4 linked regions of the Canis lupus familiaris genome follow. The protein of the gene in region 1 purifies or fractionates together with the protein of each later gene. This does not show direct contact. Links are inferred from orthologs where the notes say so. Each region holds a gene or a part of one and is shown in the gene's direction. Other genes may lie near its edges.

Region 1 (3,567 bases):
TAAATGGCCTTCATTTTAGAAAGTGGAAGTTTAGTTACTTATTTGTTTGGAATATTTATAACAAGCTGACATATTTTTTGGAATCGGATTCATTCTATCACCTGTGAATGATATAGTAGTTTTGCATGTAAAAAATGTATAGGATTTAGTTTCTAAGGAGACTGAAAATGATGTTCTGTATACTTAGGGATTATTATTTATTAGGATTTAGTCTTATATTTGATTATTTTATGATCTTTTTCTTTGCCTTTTAGATTCTCCTGGGCTCCTCCAATTTGAAGTGTGTCCTCTCTCAGAGTCCCGTTTTAGCGTATCTTTTCAGCACCCTGTGAATGACTCCCTGGTGTGTGGTGAGTTTTGAGGGGGCTAGCTCTTTTCTTAGGGCAGTAGTTTGGGCTCTTTATCTTCTTTTTGGAAAGTCAGAAGCTGAATTTCTCTCAACTCCTATATGTTTTGTCTTTCAGTGGTAATGGATGTGCAGGACTCAACACATGTGAGCTGTAAACTGTACAAGGGGCTGTCAGATGCACTCATCTGCACAGATGACTTCATTGCCAAAGTTGTTCAAAGGTAGCACTGGCTCTTTTCCATCAGACTCCCATTTAGAGGGGTATAAGAAACACTGTTTTCAGTATTAAAGTGAATGGAAATTTAGGAGGGAAGCATTTATTTATTTTTTATTTTTTTAAAGATTTTATTTATTTATTCATAGACACAGAGAGAGAGGCAGAGACATAGGCAGAGGGAGAAGCAGGCTTCACGCTGGGAACCTGATGTGGGACTCGATCCCGGGTCTCCAGGATCACACCCCAGGCTGCAGGTGGCGCCAAACCGCTGCGCCACTGGGGCTGCCCAGGAGGGAAGCATGTAGTCACTGTTTTGAATTCACCTTTCTCTGCTTTGGGATTCAAAAGCAATGTGAGCTTTAGTTTTTTATTTTTTTTAAGGTTTTTATTTATTTATTAATGAGAGACAGAGGCAGAGACACAGGCGGAGGGAGAAGCAGGCTCCATGCAGGGAGCCTGTTGTGGGACTCGATCCTGGGTCTCTAGGATCAGGCTCTGGGCTGAAAGCGGCGCTAAACCACTGAGCCACCTGGCCTGCCCCAAGCTTTAGTTTTTTAAATACCATCATGGGAGTAATAGGAAGTAAGGTAGAGTAACTTTAGGTTGGTATAGGATTCTTTTAGGAAGGAAATACCTGAAATAAGATGTAGATTTTTTTTTTTAAGATTTTATTTATTTATTTGAGATAGAGAGTGAGATAGACAGGCAGAAAGAGAAGGAGCCAGGGGGACAGCCAGAAGGAGGGGGGAGAAGCAGACTACCCGCTGAGCAGGGAGCCTGACATGGGTATTGATCCCGGGAGTCTGGGATCATGACCTGAGCTAAAGACTGATGTTTAGCCAACTGAGCCCCTAGATTTTTTTTTTACTTATCTACTGCATCACTTTTTAACATATGTAATATATCAAATGGTGGCATGTAGGAAGATACTTTAAGCTAGTCAGCTTCCCAGAAACATTAATATGTAATTTTGAGATTTTTCTAGAGCTGATGCTTGTGGCCTGTTTTGTAAATAAATTTTATTGGAACACAGCTATGTTTGTTCATTTATATGTTGTCTCTTTTTTTTTTTTTTTTTTAAGATTTATTTTTTAGAGAGAATTTGAGGGGTGGGTGGGGGTTAGAAGGAGAGAGAATCCTAAGCAGACTCTACTGAGTGGGAAGTCTGATGTGGGGTTTGATCTCAGTACACTGAGATCATGACCTGAGGTAAAATCAAGAATTGGGACACTTAACCGACTGAGCCACTCAGGCACCCCTATATATTGTCTGTGGTGCCTTTCGAGCTAAGATGGCAGAATAGTTGGACAAAAACCATGTGATCTTCAAAATCCTAAAATACTACTATTTTGGTCTCTTTAAGAAAAGTTGCTAAAATGTTCTAGAGCAAAGTGTTTTCGAAAATACTTTTTTTTTTTTAATTTATTTATGATAGTCATACAGAGAGAGAGGGAGAGAGAGGCAGAGACATAGGCAGAGGGAGAAGCAGGCTCCATGCACCGGGAGCCTGACGTGGGATTCGATCCCGGGTCTCCAGGATCGCACCCTGGGCCAAAGGCAGGCGCCAAACCGCTGCGCCACCCAGGGATCCCGAAAATACGTTTTTAAACTTATCTATAAGATAAAAAGTGCTTTGCTTTAAAATAATAAAGATTGTAGGGGATTCTTGGGTGGCTCAGTGGTTTAGCGCTTGCCTTTGGCCCAGGTGTGATCCTGGAGTCCCGGGATCGAGTTCTGCGTCGGGCTCCTGGCATGGAGCCTGCTTCTCCCTCTTCCTGTGTCTCTGCCTCTCTCTCTATATATATATCATATGTAAATAAGTAAATAAATCATTTAAAAAAATAATAAAGATTTTAGAGCAATAATAGCATCTTTCACAATATAGCTTTGGGATGCTTTAAGCCATTAAGGTTTATTTTTGTTTTATTTTATTTTATTTTATTTTATTTTATTTTATTTTATTTTATTTTATTTTATTTTATTTTATTTTATTTTATTTTATGATTTATTTTTTAAAGAGTTTATTTATTCATGAGACACACAGAAAGAGAGGCAGAGACACAGACAGAGGAGATGCAGGCTCCATGCAGGGAGCCCAATGTGGGACTCGATCCCGGGACTCCAGGATCATGCCCTGGGCCAAAGGCAGGCGCTAAACCGCTGAGCCACCCAGGTGTCCCACCATTAAGGTTTAGTTTTTTTTTATTATTATTATTATTTTTTGCCATTAAGGTTTAGAACTTGATGTTTCAAGAGCTTTTTCTAGTGTTTCATTAATTAAGGTAAATATTATATCCCATTAATCACATGTGAAGTCCTAAAAGGAGGGCTTTTTTTTAAAGATTTTATTTATTTGAGAGAGTGACAGAGCAAGCATGAACAAGGTGGTGGGGGATGGGCAGAGGGAGAGGGAGAAGCAGACTCCCCTTTGAGCAGGGAGCTGATGTGGGGCTCGATCCCAGGACCCTGGGATCATGACCTGCGCTGAAGGCAGATGCTTAACCACCTGAGCTACCCAGGCGCCCCAGGAGGGCATTTTCTTACTGAGTTCATTATTACCAGTTTTCTTTTGGTTTAGTATGACATGTAATTTGGACTTTGTGGTTGGTTTGTTTTGGGTAGTGCTTTAAAAGAGGTTAAGATTGCCTACTGGTACAGATTCCTTTTAGAATGAATTTGCCCAATGCTCCAGCATTTTATAGAACTATTTCTGTCTTACCGGTTACTTGCCTTACCTGAAAATTCCTTACTGTAAACCTCTGAGTACATATCTGAATTTCAGGCAAAATTAAAGCCTGTTTTCCCAAATAAAAATTGTTTTCTTTCAGCAGCTAATACATTGCTGATTTTGTTTTTTCTATCTTATCTTACAGATGTATGTCCATCCCTGTGACGATGAGGGCTATTCGGAGGAAAGCTGAAACCATTCAGGCCGACACCCCAGCACTGTCCCTCATTGCAGAGACAGTTGAAGACATGGTGAAAAAGAACCTGCCCCCGG
Region 2 (4,001 bases), on another chromosome or scaffold:
CCGCCATCACCAACACCCTGTTCTCTGGCTCCTTCCTTAGGACCTCACACAAATCCTCATGCTTTTTGAATCTCGGTGGGTTTCCAGGACCTTGTGGTCCGGAAGTACAGAGCCCAGGGTCCACTGCACCCTAATGAGAGTGAAGGGGAAAGTAGTGTGCACTACTTATGGGGCTGCCACAGGTAGAAGCCTGGGTTTGAACTGCATACATAGCCCCCCAGTGGTGTCACCGCCCACCCTCTCTTCCAGGAGGGTCCTGGATGGGGTGGCTGCTGCAGCCTGTAGGGGTGACAGTGAAGCAGGGCCTGGCACTGTCCCCACGGCTCATGTACCCCCACACCTCTAGGTTCTGTCAGGCGGGAGTGAGGCCCCTTTGGGGTAAAAACTATACCCCTTCTCTCCACCCCCAGCCAGCCAAGTGGCATCCTAGCTTTGCCCGGATGGCCCAGAAGGGTCGCGGCTACGCCCCTGTGCATCATCCCCTCATGCCTTCTGTTCCTCACCAGTTAAAGCCCCCCCCGTGGAGTCCAGGCTGGTGTGGGCCTCTGGCCAATGGCACCTCCTCACCCCAGGGCCCAAGCTTAAGCAAGGAATAGCCCTTCCCAGGAAATGGAGGCTCCTGGTTTCCCGGGCAGGTCCCCGGCGGCTCCTCAGATGCTGCGGCTACTGGAGCCGACGGGAGACCCAGCTCCTTGCCTCAAACAGCGCAGGTGGGGTCCGTCCACACAACTGCGGTCGGCAAAATAGCAACCAGCAGTGCCAACGCACTCCTCTCGGCCGCCAACCGCCTCCGCCGCCGGGCCGTCTGCCTGGCAAGCAGCTCATCGGCCCCAAGCCCGCTCCGCAAAGGGGCGACCACGCGGGGGAAGGTGGGGGTCGCGGCCGGCGGCCTTCTGGTCCTAGGACCTGACGCCTCCTGCCGGCCCGCACTGCGCCCTGGCTCCATTCTCCACTCGAGGGCCTCGCGCTGGGCCCTCCAAGCGCATTTGCAAAGAAGGATCTTGAGGGGGGGGGCGGCCCCCGGGGCCGCCAACGCCCCCGCCAACGCCTCACGCATGCGCAGAGCCACCAGCGCCTCGGTCCTCCCGGGCTCCTCTCGCCTGCGCTACATCCCCCGGGCCTCCAGGGGGCGAGCGGCCGGCCTCCCCACGGGGGCCGTAACCCGGAAGCAGCCGCTAACCCGGAAGAGGTGGCGTCGTAGAGGGTCCTGCAGGCGTCGGGGGCGGCCCTGCGGCTTCGGCTGCGAGTGCGGCGCTAGGATGAACGCCCCTCCCGCCTTTGAGTCGTTCTTGCTCTTCGAGGGCGAAAAGAAGTAAGTGGAGCTGGCGGGGGCGAGCCTGGGGTCCGTCCAGTAGCGGGAGACGGAAGCCTCTGTGTCCGCCAGATTCGAGCCAGCCCTGCCGGGCGGTGGCGACCGACCCCCTTCCGCAGATGCGGAAACTGAAGCTCAGAGAGCCAAGGAGCTGCCCCGGCCCTCGGGGAGTGGCGGTGTGCGTGGCGCCAGAGTGCTTCCCCCCGGGATCCGGCAGCCCCCTCGCTCGCGTGCCTGGCCGCCGCCTCCTGCGGCTGCAGCGGGGTCCGGCTCTCAGGCTCTCGTCCCGCCTTCGCTGGCCTCCGGAGAACCTCCAGCGGCTTCTTGCCCGCGGGGTGCAGGCGGTGTAGTCTTGCTGTCTCTCAGCCTGGGCTTGGCTCCTGGCTCCCCCACTTAACGTCTCCGTGTCTTTGGGCAGGTGGCTTAGCCTGCCTGAGGCCTGCTTTCCTCATCTGGAAAATGGGCTTCTTGCTCTGTTAAATCACAGGATTTTCTCAAAGGGGAGCTTGAGATGATTTACGGGAAGTGCTTAGGCCAAGGCTCAGCACACAAAAGACTGTCTTAAACGTCGGCTTTTCCTTCTCTTAACAGCCTGGTGTGCGGGGCTCTATGTCTAGCCCTTGCCAGCCACTTCGTCTCCCTTGGGAGCAGTGGTTGGCAACTAGGGGCTATTTTGCTCCCCAGGGGACTTTTGGCAACGTCTGCAGACACTTTCGTCACATAGGGGCTGCTGCTGGCAGCTAGTGAATAGAGACCAGGGATACTGCTCATATCCTGCAATGTACAAGACCACCCCCTGCGGGAAAGAATGATCCACCCTAAGATGTCACTGGTGCCAAGGAGCAATCCAGAGTAGGTGAGGGTCCCGCAGAATCGGGGCATAGCCACTCTGCTGCTCTGAGTCAGAGGTCTTTATGGATGAAGAGATGGAGGAAGGCTTCGAGGTGGAAGTGGGGCTTAAGCCTGAGTTAAAGGGCAGGATTTATCCTGGGGGGAGGAGGAGAGCCCCGTTTCCCATCTGTTGCTACCACCTCTTCCTAGGATTACCATTAACAAGGACACCAAGGTACCCAATGCCTGTTTGTTTACCATCAACAAAGAAGACCACACACTAGGAAACATCATCAAATCGTAAGTTCCGAGTCAGAGGCTCTCAGGCAACGTTTAATGGGGCTCTTTGAGGCAAAGCACACGTCCCAGATTTCCCGAAGTCTCTCTGAGCTGCCGGAAGGTCTGGGTGCTTGTTCTGGCAATTCACACGTTTCAGTACGTTTTCCCCAAAATGCTGCTGCCCTGGATCTGTTCCCACAGCTGTATTTCTGTACTGGTTCATTTATCCGATGAAAGGAAGTGAACGTGTGGCAAAGCCAGAGAAACCTAGGCCGACTTGCCAGAGATTGGAACTTATTAGAATGAGGGGAGAAGGTGGGGGAGAGGCTCTGTGATTATCCGATGCTCATGTTGGTTAGCAGGTGTGTAAGTACATTAGCGAGGTCCTGGCCAGGTAAGTGGTCAGTGATGTGGTTGCTGTTTGGGCTCAAGGGCTTTTGTCAGAAAAGCACCATGGGTGAATCTAGGTCTTTCCGAGGGTCATGTGTTTGAGACCACTGGGCAGGAGCCCACCTCACCTCTGGGCTGAAAGTAGGAGGTGGGGCTGGCTCTCTCCAGTCTGGCTGGCCCCACCCTGAGCCATGCCGGTGCTGCTCCCAGGCCCTTCTGCTCCCCTACTCTGGGAGGCATGTCCCCACCTGTGCAAGAGCCTTCCCTCTTGGTGCCTGCTGCTGACTGAGCTGCTCCAGAGAATCCCCCGCGGGCCCAGGGCAGAGCATGGCATGCACACTTCACCTCACAGCCAGGCACAACGGGTCCCAGGTGTGTGGGCAGCAGCGTTGACCAAAGGGCTTCCGTTTCACTAAGCACTCAGAGCCTGAGCCTTTCCTGCTGTGCCAGACGCTCTTACTGGGCCAGAACCAGCACATTGTGTTCTGGTTACTGAGCACTGGCTGCCTGGGGAGGGCTCTTTGGTGCTGTTGCAGGCCCCCGACTTCCCCTGAGGGAAGTTTGCTGGAAATCCTCTTTACCAGCTGGGGTCCTGGATCCTCATGGATGTAGGGGTGGGGGGAGGAGGGAGGTGTCCTCATGAGGCAGATGTTCCAGATGTTTTACTTGGAGATATCTTTGGGAAATCAAGAGCAGGAAAGCAGCTGGAGTCAGCCATCTCCTCCCTGCCCCACCCCCCTCGCTTCTAGGCCTCAAGCCAGTGGGAAGGCTCCTTGGTTAGAGGCCTGGTGGTCCCAGGTGCTAGGCCCAGCCCCCATGTCACACTGCCCATTTCCTGATCTCAGACAGCTGCTGAAGGACCCCCAGGTGCTGTTTGCTGGCTACAAAGTCCCCCACCCCCTGGAGCACAAGATCATCATTCGAGTGCAGACCACACCAGACTACAGCCCCCAGGAGGCCTTCACCAACGCCATCACAGACCTCATCAGCGAGCTGTCCCTGCTGGAAGAGCGATTCCGGGTGAGGAGCCGGGCGGCGAGGGGTGTTTGCATGCTAGCCAGTATGGCCAGAGCTGTTCTGATGCCCACACCGACAACCCCTGGGTAGTTTCCGGATTTATTGTGGGGTGGGGGCACGTGGTGACTGAGCAGCAGTGCCACTACAGCCTTGAACGAGCTTGGACTAAGGG
Region 3 (3,567 bases), on another chromosome or scaffold:
CTGCTTCTTCCCACATTTACCAATTTTCAGTTATGTGTTCTTTTATTAGAAAAAACAATGGCCTAAACATGTACCTTATGGGAAAACCAATCTGGGAGCTTTCCATTAAAAAATACAAACTGTGTAAACTGTACTTAAGTAAATGAACATTTTTTGAAAAAATGAAGCGAAGCAAAACAAAACGTGAGTGTTCCCAGTGATGTGTGATTGTCATGTCCTTGCAGGTACGCCAACAGTAGCCTCATAAAGTACATGGAGAAACACAAGGTCAAGCCTGACAGCAAAGTGTTCCTCCTGGTAGGTGCTTCTCTTCCAGATGAAAGTTGGGTCTGTAGCACAGGCCCACCCCATCCCATTCAACATGGAATTGTACCAGCTATTCCTTCCCTTTAGAAAGAAAAGAAATTGTTGGGGGCTGATGCAAAATTAAATACTTTTCTTTTAAGATGTCACCCTTGATTTCTAGACTTAATTTTTTCCAAAGATTTATCAGCAGGAAAAAAAAAATTATATTCTCAAAGGGCCTTCATGCTAATGATTTCTGCCAATTTCACATAAATGATTGTGGTGTCCTAATAGCACGGTGAGCTCTGCAAAATGGCATCTGATATTAATCCTGCTAGACCTTAATACAAAAGTCAAAACATTGATAAGCAGTCTTTTCCATGTGCTATCAATTTCTTATGTGTTACTCTAGCTTCAGAAACTCCTTACTATGGATCCAACCAAAAGAATTACCTCGGAGCAGGCTTTGCAGGATCCCTATTTTCAGGAGGACCCCTTGCCAACATTAGAGTACGTATTGTACGTGTTCTGTGTTCTTTGCTCCAGGTCGGGGGTGTCGGATGGTGGCTGCAAGTAAGAGAAGCCCTTGTTACTGCAGTATTACAAGTTCTCCATTAATACTACCTCGGAGAAAAAGTACTCAAGAGAAAGGGCCCGTATTCTGAAACAGGCAAAGCCATAGAGAGGTGTGAATGGAAACAAGTATTTTAGAAAGGACCATTATTCAGGGTTACAGAAAAAAACTGAAGCTGAGAACAGGTGGGACTTTGAGAGGTCGGTCAGCCAGATAAGTTTAAGCCAAACCAGTAGGGAACTAAGAATTTAAAAGTCTGTGTGTCCACTCTACTACCAAAACCCCTGTGTTTCCCCCTCCTTGTTACACCCACGTGCTTGTGTTTATTAGAGATGCAACTTTTCTTGGGCGGGCGGGGGCGGGGGGGAGTATTTTCATTGTTGAGGCAATTACAAATTCAATTTTGTTTTGTGTGCTAATAAATTTTCTGTGGAGAAACTTCCCCATCATATATGTCAACTAGCTAACAGCAGTTAAGATTTGTTACTGAAGATGGTAATTATTATAAAACTTAGACAATTTTTTTTTCCAGAGAGAGAAGGAGGTGGGGGTGAAGGGCAGAGGGAGAGAGAGAATCTCAAGCAGGCTCTGCACACGTGTGCCCAGCGCGGGTCAGAGCCTGACTCGGTGCTCGATCTAACAGCCCTGAGATCCTGACCTGAGCCGAAATCAAGAGTCAGACACTTAACTAACTAAGCCACCCAGGCACCCCACAAATTCTTTTCTTATTTGCTTGAATTCAGTTGTCTTGGGAGGCATCCCGCAAATATTAGCTAGAGCTGAAGAGTGGGACATAGCTTAAGAAAAAAAGTGGAATTTTAAGCTAACAAGGTCAATGATACTGTAGATTTTAGGTCGTGATGTATATTCTTTTTTTTTTTTTTTTTTTTAAATGATGTTGTAGTGTGTTTGCTGGCTGCCAGATTCCATACCCCAAACGAGAATTCCTTAATGAAGATGAACCTGAAGAGAAAGGTGACAAGGTATAAAGCTACACGGTACACATCACTTCCAGAGAATAAGGGAGGCAAAAAGAGAATTTAAGGAACTATAATTGAATGATTACTACGTATTTAACTGCCTTTAATTATGTATTTACATGATTGCAGATGTACTTTGCAAACTTGAAATCTAGTAAGTTTACAGATAAATGATTTCTAGCCTGTTTCATTCCCTGGTTCTTAATTGTTGGGTTTCATTTGTTCAGTGTCACTTTATGCAGGCTGCTTTCAAAGCATCTTATTCTTTGCTGGTAACTGGGTATATCAGGCCCTCCCCATATCCCTCTACTTTTCCAAACTCCTGATGGAGAAGACCATCACAGCTGGTTTCCTGAGAGCAGAATAGCTTCCTGGGTGCTGCATGCCCTCTGGCCGGATGTCTGGGACTGATGTGGAGGATGAGTGTGCAATCTAGATGAACTTCGGAGAATGAATCGTGTTCAGGACTCAGTACTCTGACCTTAGGGGATGCGCAGCATCCGGCTGGAGTCACTTTGGCATCCCCACCCCAGAGGGGCTCTCCAGCTTGGTCCTTGGGCAGCCCAGTGTGCCTACTAAGGAATCAGTGTCCTGTTAAAAAAAGAGAAAAGGATAAAGGAAAGCAAGCACCGCCCTGTTCATTTAGTTCCATACCAAGTTTGCCTTTCTTCCTTTTCTTGCAAGAACCAGCAGCAGCAGCAGAACCAGCATCAGCAGCCCCCAGCGCCCCCCCAGCAGACGGCAGCCCCCCCGCAGGCGCCGGCACCACAGCAGAACAGCACCCAGACCAACGGGACCGCGGGCGGGGCTGGCGCAGGGGCCGGGGCTGCAGGTGGCGGCCTGCAGCACAGCCAGGACTCGGGCCTCGGGCAGGTGCCCCCCAGCAAGAAGCCCCGCCTGGGGCCCTCGGGTGCCAACTCCGGCGGGCCCGTCATGCCGTCAGATTATCAGGTACCCCCTCAGATTCTGTTCTGGTCAAGGGTTTTTTATGAAATGGAACATCGATTTTTAAAAAAAATTTATTTAAAGAGAGAGCATGAGCAAGAACACAGCAGGGGGAGGGGCAGAGGGAGAAGCAGACCCTGGGCTGAATGGGGAGACTGAGCCGGGAGCCCCAGGTGGGGCTGGATCCCCAGCACCCCAGGGTCACGACTTGAGCCAAAGGCAAGCCGCTCAAGCATTTGAGCCTCCCAGACAACCCAGAAGTCAATTTGATCCTAGAGCTTTTTAGACTCAAGTGATACTGAACTCTAAAGTTTGACTGTACAAATGGTACAATCCTGTTTCTAGGGCATGACATGAAAATGAAGATTTGGGTCATATTTCCTTGTAATTGTGAAACATTTTGTTCCTTGGCTTGTTTTTCCTGACTTCCAGAGGAGGGAAAGTGAGGTGGGCATCTCCCTGCTCAAAGGAAATTTCTCATATTAGCCTTTGAAAGAGAGAGGAGTGGCAGCTTATTTTGCCCAAAATAAGATTGAGAAAGATTTGCTGTCCCTGAGAGGAAATAATCAGTAAGTAGCCATTGTAAACATAGAAAGGGATTAAGATTGAGATGTTGCAGAAATCACTGTTCAATCTCACTAGAAGTATTTTTGAGACTAGAAAATACTTTTTATTAATAAGATTAAAAAAAATAACAACACCCTACAGTTGTGTGGTATCTGCCTAAATGTAGTGTCTCTCTCCATGGGATGGGGGCCCCCAAGTGTGGGACGAGGATGGGTG
Region 4 (3,196 bases), on another chromosome or scaffold:
TAAACTGTTTTAACCAAAAAAATACTGAATTTTCACATTAGTGTGACATTTTTATAGGTAGCAAAATAATAATAATACATAGTGCTTTCTTTGTGTCAGGTACCTTTAGAATTGCTTTCCATATATTAACTCATTTAATTCTGAAAACAAACCTATGGTAGCTGGCACTATTTTTAATCTCCATTTGACAAATGAGGTTGCAAAGAGATTAAGCAACTTGTCCAAAGTCACTCAGATAATAAAGGTCTTCAAGTCTCCATTCATAACCCCTCTGTACTTCACAAGTTCTGTATCAAGCACCATATTTATTTAGACAGGGATAACACTGGCCAGGAGAGCTTTCTCTGATGATCTGTGCTGTGCAATAGGATAACTCCTAGCCACATGTGGCTCTTGAGCTCTAGAAATGTACCTGATATGATTGAGAAATTGATTTTTTTAAGTTTAATTTGGTTTTAAATCTAAATAGTCACATGTGACTACTCTATTATTTGTGTTATAATAGTTTTTTTCCCTTTATAGAAAAAGAATAGAAAATATAAGAGTTTAGTCTTGTTCTAAATTGGACAAAACAATTTGCATAATGTAGATCATTGGTTTAGAATAAGGTAAAGGTTTTGTTTACTTCTTAGAACCAAGTAAGATCATGATTATTAGAATTACTAAATGTGAATTACTATGTTAAATGTAATAATCCAGTTTTTCTCTTGTTAATTTGGGGGAATAAATACCGCTCAAATTGTAGTGTTTCATCAAAAAACATGTACATCCCACATATGGCCAAGGATATAACTATAAGAAATAACACAATGTTTTTATGATTTATGATTTCAGCTTCAGAAGTTACTTACTATGGACCCAATAAAGCGAATTACCTCAGAACAGGCTATGCAGGATCCCTATTTCTTAGAAGATCCACTTCCTACATCAGAGTAAGTGATCAGTTTATTAACTCACCAGCATGATAGAATTTTCTGGAGTGGGCTTGTTTGAGTTGTCAACTCCAAGTTGCCACTCGCATTACATGGGGACCTAGGGAAATCCCAGTGACATGAGCTCTGATGACTGAGGTGTCATTTAGGGCTTTTACAGTGAAAAGGCATTCCTGTTCATGTCTTACTTTATGAAACATTACCAGCTTTATTTTCAGCCGTGCCCCAATTATTCAGTGACAGGTTAATTATGCATGCTGTAGCTCACTCAGACTCACTGAGATGGCCCACTGCTTACAGTTACAGTTTTGTGTTTTAATTACAAAATCCCATTCCCAAATAAATTTGTGTTCCCCATGTCATCTCTTATGTGTAGAAGGGAGAGTAAAAAAAAAAATTGTGTTCAAATAGTGACATTTCCACTGGAATCTATATTTGGATTGTAACAATAAAAGAGTGAGTCTGGGATAAAAGAAAGTTGAGTCATATTCGATGATTATTGATTATTTTCACACAATGAAAATCCTTCCCATGGTCTGCTACAATGTCCCTAGTTAGAAGAAAAGATTCATTTTGGCACAGTTGCATGAAGGGTGCTTATTTTACAAATAAGGACACAAAGTCCATCTTAAAAGATTAAAATGAAGCATCTGAGATACTGATTAGCATACTAGAAATTTTCTTTTTTTGTTGTGAGCAGCGTTTTTGCCGGTTGTCAAATCCCTTACCCAAAACGAGAATTTTTAACAGAAGAAGAACCCGATGACAAAGGAGACAAAGTAAGTATTAAAGTACATTTGGCTGCTGCTTGTTTTATTCCATCTACCGTGTAACATTTTCTTGTTTGTATTTGGTTCTCCTTCTGAGTTGAACTTTATTTTTCTGTTTAACCAATTGAGAAGAACCAGCAGCAGCAGCAGGGCAATAACCATACTAATGGAACCGGTCACCCAGGGAATCAAGACAGCAGTCATACACAGGGACCCCCATTGAAAAAAGTGAGAGTTGTTCCTCCTACCACTACCTCAGGTGGACTCATCATGACCTCAGACTATCAGGTATTTCCAGTTCATTGTGTATTGACTGGCCATATCAGTATTTGTAGATGGGTTTGTGACCTAAGAAAATGCTGACCTTCATGTCCCCGGGGAAAATATAGTGATGTGAGTTGTTATTGGCACAGCAGAGTACTGACTGTGGTACCGGACAGGGGGCCGACTTTTGAACTAAACAGACCTGGAATGATCAGACTTATAAATTATGCCATTTATGAACTGTGTGACCTTGGACAAATAAAATTTCCTGGCCTTTTCACCTGTAAAATGAGACTAGCCAAGCCTTGCTTGTAGTTGTTATAGGAATAGACATGATAAGTCCTAGCACCTGACTTATAGTAGGAGCTCAATCAGTATTGTGCATTGTTTTGAAACAACAGGTATATCAAGAATGATTAAGAATGATTAAGAAAGCTACATCTAAGGCTTTCAGGGGCATCTGGGTGGCTTGGTCTGTTAAGCTTCTGCCTTTGGCTCAGGTCATGATTCCAGGGTCCTGGGATTGAGCCCGTATCAGGTTCTGTGCTCAACAAGGATCCTGCTTCTCCCTCTCCCTCTCCCCTCTGCTCATGTTCTCTCTTGCTTGCTCTCTCTCAAGTAAATGAATAGCATCTTTAAAAAAAAACACAGACTTTCAGATCCCAGCCTAGCCACTGACTTTGGGTAACCTTGAGTAAAGTAATTCAGATGTTCTCAGTTTTCTCATTTGTAGAAGTGATGATGGCAAGTGTGAGGTGGTAGCAAGGATTAAATGAGAGGACGTACGCTAAGGCACAGTGGCTAGCATGCCATAGTGCTTAACAGATGTTACCACTTTTTATCATTTTTATTATCATTATCATCAAAATTATTAGTAGTGTTCATAGTATGCAGTAAGCATTTACTAAGTGGTGGTGGTGGTGCTGGTGATAACTAATAATAAGAGTTTGTTGGGTGTTTACTATGCCAGCTTTTTTACTAAGCATGAAACTTACATTATTTCCTTTGATCATTATGGGAACTCTGTGAGTAAGGGTTATTGTCATATCAGAGATGCTCAGAGAAGAACTTTCACATATTTACCTGTTGAGCTGGGGGTAGACCCAGGATACAGTCTAAGATCTGACAACCAAGACTGCTCTGTTGCCTGCCTGTGGATCCCATCAAGTGGTATTGTCAGTTTCTTTGCAGAAAGACAACTTGGAAAATCATATACCACCTCCCTGCTTA

The links.
Region 2: the proteins of MED1 (region 1) and POLR2J purify together in Homo sapiens (affinity purification with mass spectrometry; 3 studies listed by BioGRID and IntAct, with this or other methods). This does not show direct contact. The link is inferred for Canis lupus familiaris from reciprocal best matches to the Homo sapiens genes MED1 and POLR2J.
Region 3: the proteins of MED1 (region 1) and CDK19 purify together in Homo sapiens (affinity purification with mass spectrometry; 7 studies listed by BioGRID and IntAct, counting the BioPlex papers as one, with this or other methods). This does not show direct contact. The link is inferred for Canis lupus familiaris from reciprocal best matches to the Homo sapiens genes MED1 and CDK19.
Region 4: the proteins of MED1 (region 1) and CDK8 purify together in Homo sapiens (affinity purification with mass spectrometry; 14 studies listed by BioGRID and IntAct, counting the BioPlex papers as one, with this or other methods). This does not show direct contact. The link is inferred for Canis lupus familiaris from reciprocal best matches to the Homo sapiens genes MED1 and CDK8.

Annotation. Positions count from the first base shown.
Region 1 is NC_049230.1:22,961,942-22,965,508, forward strand, and holds part of MED1 (mediator of RNA polymerase II transcription subunit 1), read left to right. Parts: intron 1-254; coding exon 255-350; intron 351-464; coding exon 465-570; intron 571-3,439; coding exon 3,440-3,567. UniProt on the Homo sapiens protein: Component of the Mediator complex, a coactivator involved in the regulated transcription of nearly all RNA polymerase II-dependent genes.
Region 2 is NC_049227.1:7,621,733-7,625,733, forward strand, and holds the start of POLR2J (DNA-directed RNA polymerase II subunit RPB11-a), read left to right. Parts: upstream 1-1,154; 5' UTR 1,155-1,259; coding exon 1,260-1,312; intron 1,313-2,353; coding exon 2,354-2,443; intron 2,444-3,657; coding exon 3,658-3,832; intron 3,833-4,001. UniProt on the Homo sapiens protein: Core component of RNA polymerase II (Pol II), a DNA-dependent RNA polymerase which synthesizes mRNA precursors and many functional non-coding RNAs using the four ribonucleoside triphosphates as substrates.
Region 3 is NC_049233.1:67,588,375-67,591,941, reverse strand, and holds part of CDK19 (cyclin-dependent kinase 19), read left to right. Parts: intron 1-224; coding exon 225-297; intron 298-539; exon of another isoform or gene 540-697; coding exon 698-795; exon of another isoform or gene 796-852; intron 853-1,254; exon of another isoform or gene 1,255-1,763; coding exon 1,764-1,842; exon of another isoform or gene 1,843-2,430; intron 2,431-2,523; coding exon 2,524-2,790; intron 2,791-3,567.
Region 4 is NC_049246.1:13,124,107-13,127,302, reverse strand, and holds part of CDK8 (cyclin-dependent kinase 8), read left to right. Parts: intron 1-834; coding exon 835-932; intron 933-1,632; coding exon 1,633-1,711; intron 1,712-1,831; coding exon 1,832-1,990; intron 1,991-3,196.